Linked DNA regions of Nothobranchius furzeri. The protein of the gene in region 1 purifies or fractionates together with the protein of each later gene. This does not show direct contact. Links are inferred from orthologs where the notes say so. Each region holds a gene or a part of one and is shown in the gene's direction. Other genes may lie near its edges.

What was found.
Region 2: the proteins of limk2 (region 1) and cdc37 purify together in Homo sapiens (affinity purification with mass spectrometry; 3 studies listed by BioGRID and IntAct, with this or other methods). This does not show direct contact. The link is inferred for Nothobranchius furzeri from reciprocal best matches to the Homo sapiens genes LIMK2 and CDC37.
Region 3: the proteins of limk2 (region 1) and ttc1 purify together in Homo sapiens (affinity purification with mass spectrometry; 3 studies listed by BioGRID and IntAct, counting the BioPlex papers as one, with this or other methods). This does not show direct contact. The link is inferred for Nothobranchius furzeri from reciprocal best matches to the Homo sapiens genes LIMK2 and TTC1.

What each region holds. Positions count from the first base shown.
Region 1 is NC_091757.1:45,913,288-45,921,236, forward strand, and holds the start of limk2 (LIM domain kinase 2), read left to right. Parts: upstream 1-3,677; 5' UTR 3,678-3,844; coding exon 3,845-3,860; intron 3,861-4,046; coding exon 4,047-4,137; intron 4,138-7,949. UniProt on the Homo sapiens protein: Serine/threonine-protein kinase that plays an essential role in the regulation of actin filament dynamics. Acts downstream of several Rho family GTPase signal transduction pathways.
Region 2 is NC_091745.1:3,426,779-3,434,475, forward strand, and holds the start of cdc37 (hsp90 co-chaperone Cdc37), read left to right. Parts: upstream 1-3,696; 5' UTR 3,697-3,711; coding exon 3,712-3,713; exon of another isoform or gene 3,714-3,719; intron 3,720-4,483; exon of another isoform or gene 4,484-4,544; intron 4,545-6,103; exon of another isoform or gene 6,104-6,345; coding exon 6,346-6,454; intron 6,455-6,691; coding exon 6,692-6,967; intron 6,968-7,379; coding exon 7,380-7,485; intron 7,486-7,574; coding exon 7,575-7,690; intron 7,691-7,697. Other genes in the region: uncharacterized protein, read left to right, coding at 348-360, 467-511, 558-758, 1,015-1,087, 1,137-1,193, 1,462-1,728, 1,808-2,140, 2,219-2,473 and 1 more; cmc4 (cx9C motif-containing protein 4), read left to right, coding at 3,424-3,481, 3,560-3,696. UniProt on the Homo sapiens protein: Co-chaperone that binds to numerous kinases and promotes their interaction with the Hsp90 complex, resulting in stabilization and promotion of their activity. Inhibits HSP90AA1 ATPase activity.
Region 3 is NC_091750.1:27,431,062-27,438,245, forward strand, and holds part of ttc1 (tetratricopeptide repeat protein 1), read left to right. Parts: intron 1-2,749; coding exon 2,750-2,862; intron 2,863-7,184.

The sequences.
Region 1 (7,949 bases):
GTCTAACATGAATGGGGTTCGCTTGTGGTAGGAGGGATTCTGGGGTCTTGACCCGGTTAAGGTTGGGTCATAGTCTTTGGGGCGGGTTGGTTTAGGTTGGGAGGCACTCGGATTATAACTGTGACTCTGGAAACGATGGGTCACGTCCTCGTGCACTGCAGGAGGTATGCTGCAGAGAGAAGTGCTTTGTTCAAAGTCTTGGGGACTGCTGGTGTGACGTGTTCTGTTTGAGGACCTTTTTGGAGTGGAGGACTGGCGTAGGGTGAGGGCACTGCTGGGCTTCCTGCAAATAGAGGTGTACCAGAGACTGTAACCCAGGAAATTCATTGTGTTGATGTTGCTGTGGCAACAATATGCCTTACTGGCATCCAACCTGCCAATTTTAAAGAAGAAGAAGCAAAGGAAGGCCCAGACCTGTGCTGATGCCCCAATCACTCCCTTGTTTTAGCCTGAGATGGGTTTGATTTTTTGTTTGCTAACTCTGATGTCCTCCTAAACCAACACATTCTCTCACCCGAAGTGTCAACAAATGACGCTGGGTGGCCAAGTGTTTGTTTCCGACGCCCGCGGTAAAACGCACATTTCGCCGACATCTAACCTCTAACCTCTTGCTACTTAACCTTCCCCTCACCCCCAACCTAACCTTAACCCTGTTGCTCATTCCAAACTTCTCGTTAACCGTGTTGGAGAGGGGCGTTAAAACTAGAAACAAAGTTTTTAAGGCACAAGAGGGTAAAGGTCAGAATTTGGTGAAATCCCCATTTTACCTCGGCAGTCGGAAAACAACGCTCTGGCACAGCGCGTCGCCTCCCGACGCAATGGGACTCCCAACGCGTCGAACACAAACGCTTAGTCACCCAGCTTCATTTGTCAATGCTTCAGGTGTGAGAATGTGTTGCCTAAACTCAATGCGGATGTGAATGTTCAGAGAGAGTCGTGAGTCTGTGGATACTCGGATCTGTGCTAGCGCCCTCCTCTCATGAGTGTGTGTGTGTGTGTGTACAACTTTTTAAAAATGTTGCTCTTTTATTAAGCAATTCTCACCTTCTCCTCAAACTGTTTGCTCCAAACAGGTGTCACAAAATAAAGGATGCCCTCCTTGGCTCCAGGCAGCAGCATATTATTGAAAAGCAGGGCGATCAGAACGAAGTACGGGAAAACTGCAGTGAAGTACACAACCTACAAATAACAAGGAAACAAAAGTCGACAATTGGTGTGTGAGCTGTCAGTGTAGACAAGAATAATCCTGAGACCGATACTGTATACTGTTATAACCTTCCCAGTTGATATGGCTCCTTTGAATATACACAAATAAACGATGACCCAGGCTAAAAGAATTCCTTCTTCCAAACAATTCCCAGCGAAGACCCCCCGTTTCCTCAATGCCTCTGGTCTTCTGCAGGAGCTTGTAACTGGAAATATTAGGAAGAATGGACACCATTACCACTTACATCAAATAAGCATATTGAGAGAAGCCAGTTGAAGTGTCTCGGCATCTGGTTAGGATGCCTCTAGGTGCCTCCCTGGTGAGGTTTTCCAGGCATGTCCAACAAGGAGGAGACAATGGAAGACCCAGGACACACTGGAGTGACTGTTTTTTGGCTGGCCAGGGAACACCTTGGGATTCCCCCAGAGGAACTGGCCCAAGTGGCTGGGGAGAGGGAAGTCTGAGCCTCTCTGCTTACGCTGCTGTCCCCGAGATCAGACCCCGGATGAGCAAAGGAAAATGAATGGAGAAACTTTGGGTAAAATCATCTTCAGGTTATTCCTTTTATTGGTGACTTTTGATGGCTGGACTCTTGTTTGATTTGGTCAGAGTTATGTTTGTTGACTTCAGAGCCACTCACCTTTTAGCAGGGGGCAGATTTTAGCAATAAAGTGCACCGGTCCTAAATGATACTGTCCAACAGCGAACTCCATAAAGAACAGAGGAATACCACACAGGAACACCATGATGAGGTAAGGGACAATAAAGGCTCCTAAACACTGAGAAAGTTTCACCCTTGAGTTGCCTTTCAAATTTTCCAACATTGTCTTTTCTCCCTTAACTGTAAATTCATGATTTGTTAAGCATTTTTTTCCAGCGTTGATCAGTAAAAATACTGAAAAAACACTTCCTTCTGTTTTTAAACCAAGAATTAATAACTGGCAGATTTAACTTTTTCTTGCATTTTAAAAACTTGCCCACTTTTGTGGACGTTGTTTTTATTTTTAAAAAAGTGTCTTAATCAGTAAGAGGCTAAGGAAAACCTTTTCATTTTTCTTCAGTCTGTTTTTCACCAAATGCATGTACTCATGTTTCATCTTTTCTTTCCAGAATGCACTATTTCCAATTATACTGAGTTTGAAAACTTAGATGGAAAACAAGCTCTGAAATAGTTTTCAATAGATTTCACAGGACATTGTATTTGTCCACATATTTGCATTTCTATTGTTTATGTTTGTTTGCTACCTTTTTGTATTTGTATATATTTAGGCTATTGGGAACCATAATGGGTTTTATGTGTTGCAACAGGTCAAGACACCAGAGCGTGGTACCCAAGTTTTCCTAAACCCCCAGAAAACATTGAAGGATGGTTGCAGCTTTTTAATTTTTTCATTATTGAGATGCACGAACAGAAGGTTTATGTTGCTTTCAGTCTGTCTGACTACGATTCCTCTGATCTTTGACAGTCTCACCTTCACTGCTGTTGTAGCAGAGGTAAGAAAAACCTCCAGACGCTTCCCAGTCCAACCGCGTATCCCACCGAGGCCAGGATGAACTCCATCTGCCCCCTCCAGGTGGGTCTCTGACCCTCTGGCTCTGTGATGCTGTCAGGAATCACTTTGCCATCTAAAGGTTGCAAAACACAATCTTTGTCTTCAGAAAGTGACTTTGGGTTCTCAGATCCCACCTCCATTGCAGACTATTATAAGAAGATGTTCTTATAATAAATGGATCAATTGGTTAGAGGTGATCTGTCAATCATACTGAGCTTTAGGGGAAAGGTTGCTAATCTGACCATCTTTAATAGCCACTGACCACAGTCAGGTGCAAAACCTCTTTGATTTAGTCTGACTCAGTCTGGTGGAACATCTGCAACGGAGCGCATTCTTTCCAAAATAAAAGCCTGGGGTCACAGTCATTTAAATCAAAATACAAAAGGTCCAATGAATCTGTCTGTGAAGTCAAATAAAAAAAAGACAGTTTAGGCTCTCGTGTTTTTATCCGGTGTACACTGCAAAAAGTAAGAATAACAAAAAGGCCAAAATTTAACTTGATAGGATAAGGGTGAGTTTAATCAACATTTCTTTACTTTATTTAGCTCACAAGACCTTAAAAACAAGCGTGTAGGAAGAGAAAACACAATGAAAACAGGAACTGTTCTCTTTAATTATGAAGATAAAACTTATTATGTTTGTTTGTATGTTTGTGCTGCCAGACTGAATTACAATTGTCACGTACATGCTTTGTTTTTCAGAGCACACAGCAATTTGGAATCGCTGCTAGTGTAGTATAATCACTCCGCCAGTAGATGGCGCGAGTACCGCTCCGTTTTGGCTTTTTTTGTCCTGCTTCCAGGTGCGTTTGAGCCTTTCCGCTTTCCGTACTGGAATGTGTCCGCTGCATTACGTCACCAGCGGTGGGAAGGCTGCTGCTCAGTCTCTCAGCTGCAGCCGCGGTTCGTTTTGTTGTGTCGAGATTTTAAGGAATTCCAGTTTTCTTCTCCGTGTAACAAAGAGCAGGGAGGTTTTTGAAAACTGGAAGCTCGAAGCTTCAGAATGAGAGGTTTCTAGAAGAACCCCCCCCTCCCCCCCAAAAAAGTTACAATAAACAAATCACGACGACGCTCTTGGAGAATAGATGGAGGAGCCAGAAGGTGAGACGTGTTTTAGCTTTTACTTGACTTTATGATAAAATGTTCTGTTTTATATCTTAGTTCAGTCACTGGGAGGAATTTTAAACACTATATATATATATATATATATATATATATATATATATATATATATATATATATATATAATTTTGGTCTAGGTTAATGAAGACTGATGTGTGTTTTCAGATAATTGTTTCTGTGCGGGTTGTGGAGGAAAAATCCAAGACTCGTTTCACATGAAGGTCCTCCAGGATACCTGGCACAACGCCTGCTTCCAGTAAGTAATCTCGGGTTAGAAGCTTTTGGCACGGGTCTGGCCTGACCAGACTTGACTTAGTATTTTAAAAAATAATACATGTTGGCTTTTATTATTATTAGTGTGGACGAGCACAGAACATTCAGTCTTTGTGCATCCCATCTACCCAGGATACAGCTCGTAACCCCTGCAGCAGACAGCTTTCTGCGCTATTTTCCGTTTATTTGCCTGCTGGATGGTCTGAGAGAACTTTGTCCCTGTGAGCTGAGGTTTAATGATTTCCATAGAGGAGACGTTCTCAGGTCACTGCTCCACGCACAGCTGCATGCTAGATTTCTGCTTAGTTTACCTTTATTTTAATCACACTTTAATGTTTCCAACATCAAATGTTTTCCCTAATTGACTGGATTTTAGTTACACACCCGTATAGATTTTGTGACTTTGGGGTTCTTGCCAACTGTTTTAGTGATCATTCTATTATTTATTGCTTTTGGAAAATAACTATTCCACATACACCTTCGAAGATTATTAAAATTCGTGATTTGCATGTTTTTAATACTGATCACTATTTGCAGGAGTTAAGATCGCTAAACTGGGACAGATTGTCTTTAATACCAGATGTTGACAATGCCTGGAAATGTTTTCGTTTTGAGTTTCTGCAGGTTCTTGATTAACATGCTCCTTGGGTCAGTGTAAAAGTTAAGGGCAGTCATTTGTCTTGGGTCTCTCAAGAATTAATTGCTTTTTTAAAGAAGTGTGATAGAGCCTGGAAACTAGCTAAACGCACTAATCTTCCTGATCATTGGTCTGAATATAAAAAAACTAAGAAACATTTGTACTACACAGACAAGAAATGCTAAGGCTAATTATTACAAAAACTATTTACATAAGGACTTTAACAATCCTATGCATTTCTGGAATAAAATAAATGAATTACGTGGGAAGACTAAAGCTAAAACTAATAATATGAAAATTAATGGTAGCGTTTCTAGTGATCCGGATGTAATTGCTGAGGCCTTTAGTAAACATTGTGCTTTATCTCCTTTACCTAACTCTTCAGTTCAACTGGGTTCTTACACTTTGCCTCATCGCTGCTCAAGCCGTTTTTCCTTTTCTGAAATTCACCCAAATGAGGTTTTGAAAGTGTTAAAGACTCTTTCATCAGGCAATTCAGCTGGTCCCGATGGTATTGAAGGTCGATTTTTTTTAGAATTGCTGCTGATGCTCTGGCCCTTCCTTTGTCAATTATTTTTAATCTTTCTATCAACTCGTGTTCTGTCCTGATAGATTGGAAATGTACTAAAATCATTCCACTGCATAAAGGGAATGATACTTTTGAACTTAATAATTACAGACTTATTGCGACAGTTAACACAGTGGTAAAAGTTTTAGAAAAATTTGTATTTAATCAATTATCAAATTATTTGGATACTAATAATCTATTATCTCAATGCCAATCAGGATTTAGAAAATATTTCTTTACAACAACTGCCTTGCTTAAATTTACCAATGACATTTATTCAGGTTTTGATATTAATTTAATTGCAGGAGCTATCTTTCTTGATTTAACAAAAGCCTTTGATTTAGTTGACCATTATTTGCTTTTAGACAACTTGTTTGCCATTGGACTCTCAAGGTTATCATTATTGTGATTTAACTCTTTTCTTCCTAATCAATCTCAATTTGTCTCTTTTAATAGGTTTGAATCAAATCCGCGAGGTGTCTTTAGGGGTGTTCCGCAAGGCTCTTCATTGGGGCCATTATTATTATTATAATCTATTTTTATTAATGATTTGCCACTGTGTTGTACCTCTTGTTCTTTTCACATGTACGCTGATGATACTGTATTATACTGCTCTAAGCCGAGTAAAGTGGAAACACAGGAAATTCTTCTGTCTAATTTTAACATAGTGCAGAACTGGTTAGTCCAAAATAAACTTATTTTAGATAAATCTAAATCCTACTCCATTCTTTTTAGTAGAAGTGCTATTAAATCTGGTGCTGATTGGACTCTCAAACTACATTTTATAGATTCCTCTCTTGTATACACATCTGACAAAATAAAATATTTAGGTGTTTGGTTGAAGCCGGAGCCGTCCTTCAGATATCATATTCAAACGATTTGTCACAAGGTTAACCGGTGCTTAAGAACATTATATACATCTATCAATTGTTTTGAACTGTATTCATTTTGATTTTCCATCTTATTTGAAAGTCTTGTTAGTACCTATCAACGCTTTGTATTTTACCCGTTTTAGTGAGCATCCCTCATTTGTTATACCTCGGGTTAAAAAAGAAGTTGGGAGATATGCCTTCTGTGTTAAAGCTCCTCGGGACTGGAATACATTACCTGCTAACTTAAGATCTATTTCATCTTTTCGTTTATTTTGTAATTTCATTTATGAGCATGTGAAGCCAACTTGTAATTGTATTGCCTATTGTGTTTAATATCGTAGCTGCACTCAATTTATGTTGTTTTTCTATTATTAAATTTTTATTTGTTAATGATACAAGTATGCCTACAGATACATGGGGTAAGCCACAGCAAGTGTTATTATTATTTTTATTTATTTATTTTCTCTCTTAGTTTGTTATGGTTTAACGACTTTGCCTTCTTATTCTTTACTTGTTGTATGGTAGGAGGACCTGCTCGAAAACGAGATGCCACATCTCAAGCAGTTTATCCTCCTGGGAAGAAAAATATAAGATAAATAAATAAATACATGTAACAAGAGTAATTACAAAATTCAGTTTTCAGATGATGGTTTAATTTATCAAGCATAAAGAGCTATCCAAACTGATTGGGCTCTTTGTTAACAGTAATTGTTCCACTTGGTAGATTGTGAATTAACTGAGATTAACCGCTACTTGGAAAGCCCGAGCCACACCCAGGCCTGGAAAATAAGGAAATCTTCACGAAGGAGGCTAAAAGATTTCAAAAAGCAACTCATCACTTCTAAAAAAGCAGACCTCACCTGATTCTGGTTAAGGCCAGAGGTCATGATTCTATTCTACCATAAGAAAGATGAGGAGAGGTAAAAAGAATACAAGACCATCACATATTTACCAGAAAAAAAAAGGTTGATTCTCCAAGATTTTTGAGAAGATAAAAGTTTAGGGTTATTTTTTTTCCACTTAGAGCGGGTTTATTTCCCTTAATAACAAACTAATCCTTTTAAAATTAAAACAAATATGAATATAAATGTAGCGGAATATAGATGGTATATTCTTTACACTTTTATTACGTCCAGAGATTAACCTATGGACTGGGCCCTTATAATCAGAAGAGGTTGTGTTTTCTGATCTGACAAATAATATCAAAAGTGGGAAAAAATGTGAGGGGCGAATCTTCCACATACTCAGATGCTTTTCCACAGACGTTTACTAGTTTACACTCAAGTAAAAGTAAATGGGTTTAAAATGGGCGATAAATTGATTTAATGAATTAATATGACAATTTTGTTGCGGGCGATTACAAAAAATGTATGTAATAATGCCTTTTTGGCCCCCGGGAGCTTCCGTAGCGTTAGTTTTACATAACCATGACAACAACGTCACAGCACGTACACGAAACAACAACAGCAAGTGACTCCATGGCCACTGGTGAAAGTGGGGGAAGTTTGTTCCTAAGAAAGGAATTGAATCATCCGTTGTTTGGAACTGGGTTTGCTGCAACGGATGTGGAGCATAGCACGTTTATTCCAATAGGGTGTTCATTTATTCTTTATTCATCTCAGAAATGAGGGTTCCATTTGTCTTGCTTGTGATCAAATAAAAAACAAATTTGGCTTTAAGGTGCCTTCCATTTGTACTTATTGCTATTCTTAATAATT
Region 2 (7,697 bases), on another chromosome or scaffold:
GGTGCTTGAAGCATAGTTATTGTGACGGATGAATTATCTGATAAGTCATTTTCAGGTCCTTTTAAACTGTATTATAACCTAAAAATGATGAATGTATTTGTATGTTTAGCTTCTCTGTCAGTGACCTCTTTAGGCTGAATCCTGACACCATGTTTGTGTTTCTTTGCACCTTTTTGTCAGTTCTGTTTTTGGCTGTTTTCCTCGTGCTGCACTACGACCGCCATACTAATTAGTTCTGTACAAAAGGAATGTAAATAAAGGTGTAATTCTGCTTTAAATCATCAATATAAAGCTTTGTACCCCTAAATGTGTGTTCTTGTGTGTTGTTCTTGTGATTTCTGGTACAGATGTTATCCTGAAGTAGGTCAACTGTTTGTTTCTGCTTTTCTGGTGTTGCCATAGAAACCTGGCAGATGGGAAAAGGCTCAATTAGTCATAGACTTGAAAGATAAAGGTTTTCCTGCAGACATGTTTGTCCACAGAACGTGTTGAGGCATATTTAAAGCTGCAAGTAAAGTGAGAATGTGGTTGTGGAGATTCCCAGCTGTCCTCTCCAGAAATACACCCTAAAAAAGCATGTGATTTCTCGCCTTCTTGTGCGACTGTTGTGGCCTGAGGCGATGCGCTGTGCTGCATTCTGGTCACAGTGTGAGCCTCACAAGCTGCATGCAGCACCAGAGCAGCGCTCCAGCCTGCTGGGGTCCAGCAGCGTGGAGGCCAGAGGCAGGATGAAACAAGCTGCAAAGCAAAGAGATCCAGTCTGTCGTCCAGCTTTTATAAAAACCACCTTGATGGCAAGAATCTACTTGACATGAATGTCAGGAATTCAGATTTACATTAAGCTGGAGTTCTGTTAATCCCAACGGCTTATATTCAAAGCGTTTGCTGATTTTTCTGTAAGATCTCAGATATTCTAGTTGTAAATTTGCAGAGGCGATTATAAGCTTTTGATTTAATCCCTAAACATCTCAGAAGGGGAAGTAATGGGCTGTGTTAAATGTCCCTCTTTCCCAGTCCTCCCCTCCATCCCCTAAGTCAGCTGGGAGGGAACCGTGTTTTGTTCCACGTTCCCTGCAGAGTTGCCAAGGTTGTTCAAGTTGGAATTTTCTTTCTTTCGACGGCTCGGTGCTAAACAAATACCATGGGAAAGAACGTTCTAGCGTGGATTATCATTTCCTGCCTGCTTTGTTCAGGTAAGATGAGGTGTTTTATTTATTTGGGTTCAGAAACTTTTAAACTGATCTGTGGACTAAAGGATCCATAATGAGCTGCAACTTCAGAGGGAAGTACTTTAGATTATTTTAGCATGTTGTGGATTAAAATCTGAACACCATAACATGTTTGGTTATGAGTCATTTTGCTACTGAACAGGCTTGATCTGAACAGTGAAAAGTTGTTTTATTGCATCTCTGACTGGCTTAGCCATACCAATCCTTGCTCACGAGTCCCCGTGTGCCTCAGTGTCAGGTGAAGGTTGCTCCCTCATTCTCAAGCCCTCCAGGGTGGTGGTGGGGTTTGGGGAGTCGGTGTCGGTCAGCTGTGAAGCTACACGCCCGGTTCGGGTCCTGGGCTGGGAATCGGCCATCGGAACGCCACACACACAGGAGGACCAGTCTGTCCAGTGGAAAGTGGACAGTCTTATCGACTGGATCGAGGAACCCATCTGCTATGGGGTGTTTTTCAAAGCTCCGAGACAGTGTGAGGAGAAACTCAACCTCGTTCTCTATAGTGAGTCAGTCCCTCTCATTTTTAAATTTCATGACAGAGCTGAATGTTTGAGCTGAACTTTTGATCCCCTTCATTTCAGAATCTCCCGACAGTGTTTCCATCAGGTTGGTGAACCACACCGGCCCCATGATGGAGGGGAAGGAGTACCAGCTCCTCTGTGAGGTTCAGAACGTTGCTCCTGTTCAGTATCTCACCCTGAGGTGGTACAGAGGTCAGACAGAGGTGTACAAACACTCCTTCTCTGACCTCACATCTTCCTCTCCTGTCCAAGTGTCTTCTACTCTTGTCATCACACCAACCAAAGCTGAGAACGAGGCAGAGTATAAGTGTGTAGCAGAACTGGAGCTTGGACCAGAAGGACCTCAACCACCTCCAACAGTGTCTTCAGAACCTCTCACTGCCTATGTCCTCTGTGAGTTATGAAGCTACTTTCACTCCTAAAATGTCCCAATAATGAAACGTAAAGTCTGTCATTCTTTTTTTTTTTTAGTTCCCCCAACTTTTTTCAGTCCTGAAACAGAAGTTTTAGAACTTACCGAGGGTGATGGGATCACCCTAAACTGCACAGCTGCAGGAAACCCTGCTCCTGCCTACAGCTGGCAATCCTCCCATCCCATAGAGGAGCGGGTGAAGGAGGAAGCAGTCATCACCTCCTCCTCCCTTCTCCCTGGGACATACACCTGTGCTGCCTCAAACACGCTGGAAAAGAAGAGCAAACAGTTCATTGTCAAAGCAAAGACCAAAGGTAAAGGGGAAGTATGAGGAACTACATCTGCAAGTAAAACTCTGCATCCTAATTTGTTTTCTGTTGTTCAGGTGTTTAAGGCCCACTAACAGGACTTGAATCAGCTGGAAGAATTTCACTGAGCAGGTTTTATTGCTGCTGCCTCATGAGATGGAAGCATTCAGTAATCAGTGGATGTTTTGATGTATTCTGTTATCATACAGAGTTAGATCTCACAAAGAAGACAAATGAAGATGTTTAGCAAACGCCATTTATTATGTGAAGGTTGATTTTTGTCGTAGTCTACTGTTGTTGTTTTATGTAATAAAATTTCCCTTATTATATATGTACTAGAATATTTTTAATGATCTAATAAGTAAAGAAAATCATAATTTGACAAAGTATAACTACCCTTGATACGCCAATGACTAACAATGTGAAGTTACTGTAAATATGAACTGTTTCTAAATGTTCTTATCTTTATAAATAAAGTTAAATAAACAAAAAATTCTTTTTATGGTTTGATTTTTAAACGTGTATTTTGATAGTTATTAGTGCCAGTTCTGAGTAATGTAAATAAATAAACAAAATTTCCGTACTTGTGAAAAATACCTCCCACCAAAAGATTATGGCTTCTTTAAAATGTAAATTTATACTTTCTGAAGGTTAGTTAATGAAAAAAATATTCAAAATTATTCTATAAATACATTTTATGTTCGGTTACTGCAAAACATTTTGGAATTACATTTAGGTTTTCAAGGCGACGTTGTCAAATTCCTTTGCAACACCAGAGGTCGCTGTTGTTCATTGTCCGGATTTGATTAGATCTCGTTGCGTCACATGATCACTCTCGCGAGAGGAGAATGCATCGCACTAGCTAAGACGTCCAGGTGGGAATCGGCTTTTAGCTCCTTTTGGGTATCCTGATGCTTTAAAATTTGATTACACTATTGCTGCGTTTTCTTTCAGGCATGCCGGAGAAAGATCCGTGTCAAAAACAGGCATGTGCTATTCAAAAGTGTCTGCAAGGTACATTAAATGTAGATGAAAATGCTGCTAGACAGCGGGCGAACCCCACAGTCACATAACTCCGTTCCACTCCTGCAGCCAACAACTACTCGGAGAGTTTGTGTGAGAATGTGATCCGAGAGATGCGGCGGTGCTGTGAAGCTCAGGCCGGGAAATCCATCTGCTGCTCCGGGTTTAGGGAGTCCAAACCAACGGGGAACAAGAGCAACGCATAAAAACATCTCAATCAAATGTCAGTGTGTTTGGCATTTACCGTTGGAATGTATTCATTATTACATGTATCATAATAATTATCATAAAAGTACACACTAAACTTAACACTGGACGTGTAAACGTGTAAAGCTTTAAGATAACACTCCTCCCTGGCAGTGTGATTAACTACAACCAGGTTATGTCCACCGCCCTCTGATCGTGTTAAAATGATCGAATCTTTGCATGCCAGTGAGCTGAAGATCACGTGAGACCATGGACGTAATTTTGGGGGGGGGGGGGGGGGGGGTCAGGGGGACATGTCCCCCCCACTTTTTCCAAAGTCAAGTTTTGACCCCTGCACTTTTTACCATCCAAAAACAATTTTACGCTATATTAAATTCACACTGGTTGAGCTCTAGGACCAAGTGGAAAACAACTGTTTGTGTTGAAGCCTGTTTCCCATTAGAGCATACTGTAAAGATACCCCCCCCCCCCCCCACACACACACACACCCGTGTCCCCCCCACTTCTAAAGTGAAAATTACGTCCATGCGTGAGACTGTTATAAATATGCTTGCTTACAGAAACAAATACATTAAAAGACTGATAGTAGACATCTTGACTGTGATTCTGGTGGCAGACCCAAACTAAACTCCTGATATTTATATTAAAGTGGTCCCAGCTCTCCTCGTGTTTATTCTGCTCAGAGCTCTGGGTTAATGTAAACGTGACGATTCACGATCACCAGGTAAAACATTTAACTGATCTATATTTTTGTCTATTTGTGTGTGTTTTCATGTCCCTGTTCAGGTCTGTAAAAATAGGTTTTTTTATCATCATGCTTGTGAGTAATGCACATATAGAACACACTGTAAGTATTTTCAGAAACATTTAATTTCTAAAAACAATCTCATGTGTGGCAATAATATGTTCCATATTACACCATCCTAACACCAACTTTCATCCTTCAGTCATTACTTCTTTAGAAGCTTCCTAAACAGATTGATAAAGAGAGCAATTATTCTATTATTATTACACATACTATTTTAAAACTGACCATTGCTAACAAAATACTAAAATTCATTGCAAAAGTCATCCATTAATAAATTATTGATCACGTCGAGGTTCCATCTTCACAGTGCAAACATTGAGATTACCAGTTTCAAACTCTTGAAATCATTTAGATTTATTCTAATTGAATGTGTCCAACAAAATGCTTACTGGCACTTATAAGAATGTCCATGTTGGGTGGATGAAGGGCTGAAAGCAAACGAAACAAGAGAAAATTTAACAATTCCAGAGATGAGCTGATTCTGGATTTAAGGGCCAACATGCAGATTTCTTTTTCAACCCTGACCTGCTGAGCTGATACTACTATTTTGGGCTGTTTATGTTTAATGAAAAATCAATCAGATTTTTGGTATTTGGATGATCACTGGTTAAGACGCCATACTGAATACTGGCTTGTTTGGATCTCCAGTCAGCTTTCAGGGTCAGCTCTAATTATTGTTTCTTGAGAAGCGTTTGCTAGTTTATATCTAAACATTTACTTGTGGTTTTTCCATCCAAAGAATAACAAAAAATAAAATGAAAAAAAAAAAAAAAAAAAAAGCTGAACACTATACCATCATCAAGACCTCTCAGCCTCTGTTCTTGGTCCAGTAAAGAAGGTAAGATGTCTCGCTGAGAAAACAGCCTCAGTCTGTGGATGTTTGACAAGGGGGAAAAGTCCAAGAAGATAGTTTTATTCGGTAGAGAAAAACAGTTTGCTTTTTTAAGTTTTACAGAAATGTTTAGATTAGCTGAAAAATAATTGTGTAAGATACTTGATATTTTATAGTACTTTCAGTTTAGCATACAATAATAAGTTAATAAATAAAAGAAAGTCAAAGCACAAATGTGGAGAAAAAGAAGTCACGTCTTGTAAAGAAACTACAAAAATAGTTGTGATGTAAATACTTTTATAATCTGTACAACAGACTAACATTCTGACTAATCTGCTGCTAACCAGGTTTAACTATATGCAATAATATGAGGATAAGGATGGATTGGTACACGATCAGACATTATGGTTTTTATGTAGGCTACACAAATGGTATCTATATAGTGGAAACGATATTTCGGTTGTTTAGAAATCTGAGTAACTACAGTAAAAATACGAAGAAAGAAATGAAGGAAATCTGTTCAGTTCACTTTTGTAACTCATGGTGTTGTGCCGGAAAAAGCCCCTCTGTTCGTATAGGCATTTGTGTCAAACAGACTTTGTTCGAAACCGAACTTTAACTCATACATCTTTACTTGTTTATTAACGGGGTGCGTTTGTGAAAAACTTGGTTTTTCTAGTAAGTTTAACATACGGTCGCAGGCACATACGAGTGCATTTTTTACCACAACACCTGCGTCATACGTGCCTTTTACGTCATGACGTTTAGGCGTGTAGCGGAAGCTTGCAGCAGCGAATCTTTCTAGAATTTTGTAGCAGCATTTGGCTAACTGTCGCTGAGACAGTCCAGCTCCTTCCCTTCTGATAAGACTACAGTCTAATGCGCCGTTGGTAGTTAACACATCTTTCGGAGACTTTGGAAAGCGTCAGAGTGTTGTTGAATTTGTTTTTCCGAGAGTTTTAATTGAAATTATCGAACTCTTAAAACAAGCTAGGTTCTGGTTTACAGGATGTCCAGGATAGATTACAGCGTGTGGGATCACATTGAGGTCTCGGACGATGAAGATGATACCCACCCAAACATTGACACACCCAGCCTCTTCAGATGGAGACACCAGGTACCTTTTTGATTTATAACGTGACTGAGTTTTGATTTTCTTTTAACTTCGGACTGGTACTTTGGTTAGCTGGCGTCCTAGACTCAGTTTGGTGTTGCAAACAACATTCTCCCTATGCTAATTCCTAGCAAACCTGTTTATGTAGCTGTAGTGAATTACTAAGCCTACAAAACTTGTAACAAAGTGTATTGTAAAAGTTTTGTACCTCCAGTTGTGATTGGCATCATCCCATTTCAGGCACGTGTGGATCGAATGGAAGAGTTCCAGAAAAAAGGAGAAGACATCAACAAGAGCCTGAAAGAATGTCGGCGCAAGCTGACTGAGACGCAAAAGAAACTGCAAGAGCTAAATGTGTCGGGTGAGGCCAAAGCAGAGCTGAGCAAAGTCCAGGCTGAGGAGAAGAAATTGAAAAAGGAGGAGAGAGATTGGGAGAGGAAGTTGGATGAATACAACAGAGAGGAGAAGAAGATGCCGTGGAACGTGGACACACTCAGCAGAGATGGTTTCAGCAAGGTGACTAGGATCAGGCAACAGCTTACTGCGAAATAGAAAGTATTGGTTTGCATCCACTGGTATCAATGTTGGCAGACCTGTCAATTTATAATCAATAGTTGTCTCAGCGGTTTGATGGCAATATTTTTTTCCCCCAATTTCATGTTTAAAATCAGTCTAGTTTGATGCTCAGCATGAATGTTGGTCATTTTTTTGTTGGGAGTAGCTTGTATACAATCTCCTGAAAATACAAACTAAAATCATCCTTTAATTGTAAATAAACATAATCAAGGTTTATATGAAGTGTGTTATTTTTGAATATTTAGAGCTTATATACAACATTCTAACATGCCGTTAACTTACAGAACGATGCAATAAAATGCATTTGAATGCAGTCGTCATCTATTAACGGTGTTTTGTTTGTCTTCATTAGAGCATTGTTAACGTCAAACCAGACCCTTCTGAAGAGACAGAAGAGGAGAAGGAGCAAAAACATAAAACTTTTGTGGAGAAGAACGAAAAGCAGCTCAAACATTTTGGTAAGCCCGCCTGACAACCATGATTAAAATGAGCAAATCAGTAGGACAGTAAAAATAGAGATGCTGATTTGTCGCTGTGGTAACCTCAGGCATGCTGCGACGCTGGGATGACAGCCAGAAGTACCTCTCTGACAATCCTCATCTTGTATGTGAAGAAACTGCCAACTACCTTGTCATCATGTGTATTGACCTTGAAGTTGAGGAGGTAAACA
Region 3 (7,184 bases), on another chromosome or scaffold:
TTGGCGTAGACAGAATGAGAACATGGATCCATCATGCCTTGTTACCACTGTGCAGGCTGGTGGTGGTGGTGTCATGGTGTGGGGGATGTTTTATTGGCACACTTTAGGCCCCTTAGTGCCAACTGGGCGTTGTTTAAATGCCACGGGCTACCTGAGCATTGTTTCTGACCGTGTCCATCCCTTCATGACCACCATGTACCCATCCTCTGATGGCTACTTCCAGCATCTTTGGGATGCGGTGGAACGGGAGCTTCGTGCCCTGGATGTTCACCCCACACATCTCCAACTGCAAGATGCTATCCTATCAATGTGGGCCAACATTCCTAAAGAATGCTTTCAGCACCTTGTTGAGTCATCGCCACGTAGAATTAAGGCAGTTCTGAAGGCCAAAGGGGGTCAAACACCGTATTAGTGTGGTGTTCCTAATAATCCTTTAGGGGAGGGCCATTCCCATCTGTACCGGGTCGGCCCGGGCCGGGTAGCGTAGGTTGTTTACATATCTGGGTGGCCTGGTATTTTTCCGGGCCAACCAAGGCTCATTCTCAGCCCTCTTCTCGAGGGGGTCTGCTTCAGGCCGACCAGGGCCAACACACCCACTGCTGACAGCAAATTCACACCTTCCATTAGAGCAAGCCTCTGATTGGTGGGTAGAATCAGCCCACATGGGCTTAAGGCAAGGATGTGTGGAATCAACCGGGCCAGGCTGGGGCCGGCTGGGGCTACCCGGCCCGGGCCGACCCGGTACAGATGGCAATGGCCCATAAGTCGCTGGTACCAGTAAGCTCAGGCTGGCTTGGGGAACTTTCAAATGTCCGACCATGACAGGGGCCTGTCTGTGATGCCTTCCCAGCTTCCCTGCCGGCTCTGAGACACTGCTTTGACGTTAAGGCACTCATGCTCCGTCCTTGTTATTTCCACCACCACCATAGCTTTTCGGTCTTCTTTGGAGGCCTTAGACCAGAAGAGGAATGCCTCACCACTTCCGAGGCCTTCCCGCCCTCCTGGACTCTGCCAACCACCTCACGGCGTTCCAACCAGCTGATTGCTGTATCAACCTCTTCCGGGTCTTGCCACTTCCTCCTTGTTCGTATCTGGGGGCCAGCTGCTCTCACCAGTTGGGTCTGCGGACTCCCTCAGCTCCAGCACCAGCCGGGCCTTTTCCTGCTTACATCCCAAACTTATAGATCTATTTAATACTAATTTGATAAACTGTTAAACATCACACCTTTCTGAGTTACTTAGAAAGTCTAAAACACACCAGGTCATGTTTCATCAGAGTCCATTTGTGGCACCTTCCTACCGGGTGGGTGGGCTATATTATAGATCTACCAAATACAAAATCCCACCCAAGGATTACACCAGGTAAATTGAGAGCGTCTGCCAGAGATCAAAGGAATCAGCCATTAACCACCGCACCGGGGTTTATTGAAAATTCTAATTAAAACATCATTTAAAAAAACCAGGTTAGGACAGTCACTATAAACGGTTGTCAGAACTGGGCCGGAGAGTCTGCAGCCTTATCTGGACGCTGCGGGGCAGATTCCTCCTCCTTGGGGACGCTTGTCTGCCGCGCGGGTTTCCTCTTCCCTGATAGCTCGCCTCCTCCTTCAAGACGCGCGTCTGCCGCACCGCCGTTTCCCTCGATCGGCCGCTTCCTCCTGCAGATCAGTCACTGGCTCGGCCGCGTCACCGCGCCACGCTGTCGTCCTCCTCTGTCGCGGGTCCACCTGTCAGTGAATTTAACGGCAGTCACTGCTCGATCACACACCGCGGGTCACACCTTGTCACAGGGCCGCTACTCACACGCCAGGGCAAAGGAATACCCTGCCCACATCTCCATGAAGCCTCGTCACAGACGATCGGTGTCCTTTCACCCGGCGATTCTCTGCTTTCTGCCACCGTCTCCACCAAAAAACAGACGCTCCTAATCTGCCACCGGTGCAGATAATTGCTCCGGTCCGGATGTCATCTGTCCAAGCTCATCAAAGTAAAATCACACACCCTCCCAGTTTCCTGGGTTCCCCAAAATAAAAGCATTCCATGCACTAAACTAAATAAAAAAGAATACACACTAAAAACACACCACACTAGAAGGAAAACCACAATAAAACAGACTTTGCCCGTATGACACATTCATTGTCTCATTTAACATCACTGTGAATCACCATTCATAATCATTTACCTTTCATCATCATTGATGATAGAAAAATAGAAATAAATTGATTTCTACAAACTATAATTTTTGCTTCTGTGTCAAATGATTACAAAGGTGTGGTTTCCCTGAACTATGCAAAAGACCTGGTTTTATCTTAAATGTCAAAAGATCAATAATAATGATAAATCATATTTATATGGAATATCACATCTTTTTGATCATTCATTAAACGTAACCACTTACTATCGTTACCCCTAGATTGTGCAGTGTCTCTGTATATGTCTGTGTGTGTAGACCTCCACTGTACTTTCTAGTTGTAATACTCGTGCTTGACCAAACTTGAGATGTTTACTTTTGGTATGAGAGGTTGTCATGACTACCCTGTGTTGTTTGTGTTTATTGCAGTACCACAAAACCCTATGTTGCTTGTACTGATTTGTGGTGTGTTTATAAATAAGCTCATGTGTGGTGGTTTAACTTTGGTTTGGCAAGATAAGGGCCCCGGAAAGGCATCTTGCATAGGGCCCTCACAAAGCTAAGAACAGCTCTAGTCTTGTCCAACAAACCAGGATGATCCTGTTTCTGTTCCTGCAGACTGGAGGGGAGCGGAGCTAAGCTACACAGAGGCGTTGGCTTTATGTCCTGTTTGTTTCAGTCGAGAGAGAGCCGTGTTGTTCTCCAACAGAGCTGCTGCAAAACTGCACCAGGTAGGATATTGCTAAAACTCTTCTAAGGAGCTAGCCCAAGGCTCCGCCCCCTCTGGTTGGCTCATGGGACCCTGAACGGAGCTATATAAGTTTTTATTGACTCCACTTTGCCGTATGCCAGGGGTCAGCAACCTTCTCCCATCAGAGAGCCATTGTTACCCATTTCCCACAGTAAGCCACAGCAGCCGCAGCGTTGTGGGTGGGCTTACCGAGCCTGGGCCCACCCACCTGCACTCAGGCCCTCCGTAAGCTGCTGTAGGCAAGGTAGCTTTACTTATAGAGCACATTTCAAACACTGGGAAATCCAAAGTGCTTTACAGTTATCATGAAATGGCACAACAACAAACACGAGAACACAAATTAAAAATATATACAGACAAAATTATAATTTAGAGCTAAAAGGAAAAGACAGAATTAAGAGGGTATCCGCGGGTCCTTAAAAAGTCTTAAATTTCCTTTTCCAAATTTAAGGCCTTGAAAATCCTTAAAAATGACAAATAATCCTTAAATACAGTTTCCAAAGGTCTTAAATTACCAAAGACCCAATGAACTAGATTATTTTATTTCTATGACATTTTCGTGAATTTCTATTTAGTCTTCAGCATTTTTTGTGTATGATGTTGGCGTAAGCGGAACCGTACACATTCAGTTGGTTGTGAAAAGGGACTATTTTTAGATGAGCACATTAGCTGGTTAAGCTAGTGGGAGCTTGCGCCATGGAGAAGTGCAAGTTTAATGGTAAATGGATGGTTAATCCCACGTTCGCGACGTGGTTAGCACCGGTTCCAGGCAATAGCTGGAAATTATAGCTTAAATTTAATTTAAAAAATAGCTTAAATTTGGATCCGGATCGAAAGGAGTCAGTTGAGGTGGTTTGGGCATCTGGTCAGGATGCCTCCTGGACACCTCCCTGGGGAGGTGTTTCGGGCATGTCCTGCTGGCAGGAGGCCCCCAGGTCGACCCAGGACACGTTGGAGAGGTTATTTCACCAATCTGGTCCGGGAACGCCTTGGAGTCCTGCCGGAGGAACTGGTGGAGGTGGCCGGGGAGAGCACGATCTGGTGCTCCCTAGTTGGTATGCTGCCCCCGTGACCCTGACCTGGATAAGCGGAGGAAGACGACAACGAGCTTAAATTTGGTCTAAGTGGCCTTAAAAAAGGTCTTAAAAAGTCTTAAATTTGGCTCCCTTAAACCTGCAGATACCCTGATTAAGGGTGAGCAATGACATCACAGATTACAGAGGAGACGACGCAGCAGAAGAAACCATTCATGTAAAGGCTGATGAGGGTTTTAGTTGTGTTTTAAACAACACTAGGGCTGGGGCAGATCTGAGGTCATGGGGCAGCTGATTCCATATGTGAGCAGCATAGAAACTAAATGCATCTCCTCCCTGTTTGGTTCTGACCCGAGGTTCTACCAGCTGATCATTTCCTCTCAGAGCCCTGCTGGGTGTTTATACAGGAACGAGATCAGACATGTATTCTGGTCCCATGCCATTGAGTGATTTATAAACTAGTAGGAGCACTTTGGTCTATTCTGTAGTTCACTGGTAACCAGTGTAGGGATCTAAGAACAGGAGTGATGTGCTTAGTTCTCTTAGGCCTAGTCCACACGTAGCCGGGGTTTTTAAAAAACGAATATCCGCCCCTCCAAAAACTTGCATCCACACCACCACGTTTAAAAAACAAACTCTGTCCACACGTACCCGGATAAATACGTTGTTAAGGACATGCCAGACCTGTAGGCGGCAGTACTTCCCCCGTTCTTAACCTCGTCCTTCGTCTGTGGTCTTCCGCAAGGAGCAGTAATTCCGCTTGCAAAAACAAACAAGCAGAAAGCGCTTGGACAATTGATGGATCGGGTAGTGACAGAGCGCAGCTCTGAGGGCATCCATGCTGTCGGCTAGTGTAAACACAGGCCGCACACGTGATGTCAGCATTTTTTTGTCGCGGAAAGTGACGTTGCGGACCTTAAAACTCCGGTTTTGTCCGTCCACACGCAGACACCCAAAACGGAGAAAACGCAGATCTTCACTTTGGCCGGAGTTTTTTAAAAGATCCGTTTTCGTGTGAAAAAACTCCGTTTTCGTGTGGATGACAGGCCAAAACGTAGAAAACTATCTACGTTTTGGCAGATCCCCGGCTACGTGTGGACAGGGCCTCAGTTCTTGTTGAGACTCTAGCAGCAGCGTTCTGAACAAGCTGCAGTTGCTCCACAGCTTTTTTGGGACGACCAGTTACGAGACCATTGCAGTAGTCCAGCCCACTAGAAATAAAAGCATGAATGATTTTCTCTAAGTCTGGTCTGGACACGAGACCTCTGACTCTCGATGTTTGATGAAGGTGATAAACGCTGATTTAGTTATAGCCTTAATGTGTCCAGAGAAGCTCAGGTCCGAGTCAATGACAACACCAAGATTTCTAACCTGGGTGTTTTACTTTAACCAATAACAAAAGATGACAGCAACCAAAAGCTGCCACTCATGTACGTCAAAGTTATCTTTTAACAGAAGATAATTAATAAAACTATTTGTATAAAATGAATCCAGAAGTTGTAGCCTGTCTGTACCTACAATACTTTGATATTTTTCATCGTTAGTGATTTAAATAGTTGAGCAAGTGCCGATTTGTTTTACCACATCACATGTTTCTATTTGAACCGTGTTTAAACTGTTCAGAATACAAATCCAGGCTCGTTGGATTGTTGTGTAACGCTGGAAACAGCCAACAAGGGTATTTGTCCAGAGAAATGTCAGAGGTCAAATAGACAGTCGGGTGTCCTGCAGCGTTCCTCGGCTAGGAACGTTGTGTTCTTCCCTGTACCTAAATCATTCCATGCTGAACCATCAGCACCATCCAGAAGGTAGCCATTACAAGTTCCTCCTCCTGACTCCCTAATCTTAGCTGCACCTCCAAGGTCCATGCAGAAGACGAGACTTTTACTCCTTTTAATAAAATGATTCTTAGTTTGGTCTAAAAAAAAAGATTTCTTTCAATCCACATGTTTACAATCGTATTCTCTGTTATCTACAATCAATGTGCTATCTAATGTGATTTAAAGATTAATTCATTAATCAACATACATGTTTATTATTTCATGACCTATTTCAGATCTTAAATACACTAAGTGAGTCTACTTGATGATTTAATAATGATTAATGATCAGTTACATTCACATAATAATATCAGTGTATTAATAAATGAATGTTTAACAGATTTATTTCACATTAAGTGGAACCAGCCTCTTCTGAGTGGCTGATCGTCGAGGTAAACACCTAGACACACATCTCAGATCTGGTAGGTCAAAGTTTATAAACAACCAATTCATTCAAAGTGAATCACTTCCTACGTTCCCAGTTCCAGCCAGAGCTTTCAGTTCATCCAAAGCTTACAGCTCGTGCTAAATGACCATGCTATGGGGAACCAACCAGACCTTTCAGCGCAGTGATTTTAGCGGCTCAAAGAACCATCATGATTAAACTTTGCACTGAACCAAACTTTACATTTTGGATCGTTTTCAACATAGTTATGTTGAAAACGATCCGACCCATTAGTTTTTTCCTTCATTTACAGTGACGGAGATAAAGGCGCATGGCTCTTGTTTGCTGTTTGTTTGCAGCAGTCTTCATAAGAAGAAAGAGTAGTTAAATGAAAGGGTTCGTTTTGACCAGATATTTACTGTATTTGACTGTTTATTTTGATGGAGATAGAATAGAAAGAATTACCCCAACGCGTGCAGATGCGCTGACATTTAAATTGTAACACACATCGCGGAGGTAGCTAAATCAATCAAGAAAAGATTCCCATCAGAACATCCGAGCTGGACACTGCTCTTCACAGCAAGCTGAAGATGTGGAGACGGACATGGAGCATATCGCAGAACCATACGGGAAGATTCCTCCCACTGAAGCGAGTGTTGTCCAAGCCCTGTCTCTCAGAGAGACGTGTCACTTAGAAAATGTTCCTGATGGTTAAACTTTGGCTGAATAGCGCTTGTTCCTGTCTCCAATGTGGTGACGCATCCACGAGCCTGTCTGAGGAAAAGTCCAGAACTTCATATCCTCTTCAGCTCAGAAAGCTCCTACAGAGACATCTGATCACACACAATGTGTTCTTGATGAACTCGACACCCTGCTCTCCTCCATTCCTGAGCACGACTGTCCCACATTGGTCCTTGGAGACATGAGTATTCACCTGGACAATCCCAGCTCATCAGGCTTCCTGTCATTAATGTCATCATTTGATCTAAAACTAGTACAAAGCCCTCCAACTCACAAAGCTGGAAAAGCACTTGACCTCATTTTCACCAGAAACTGTGCCATA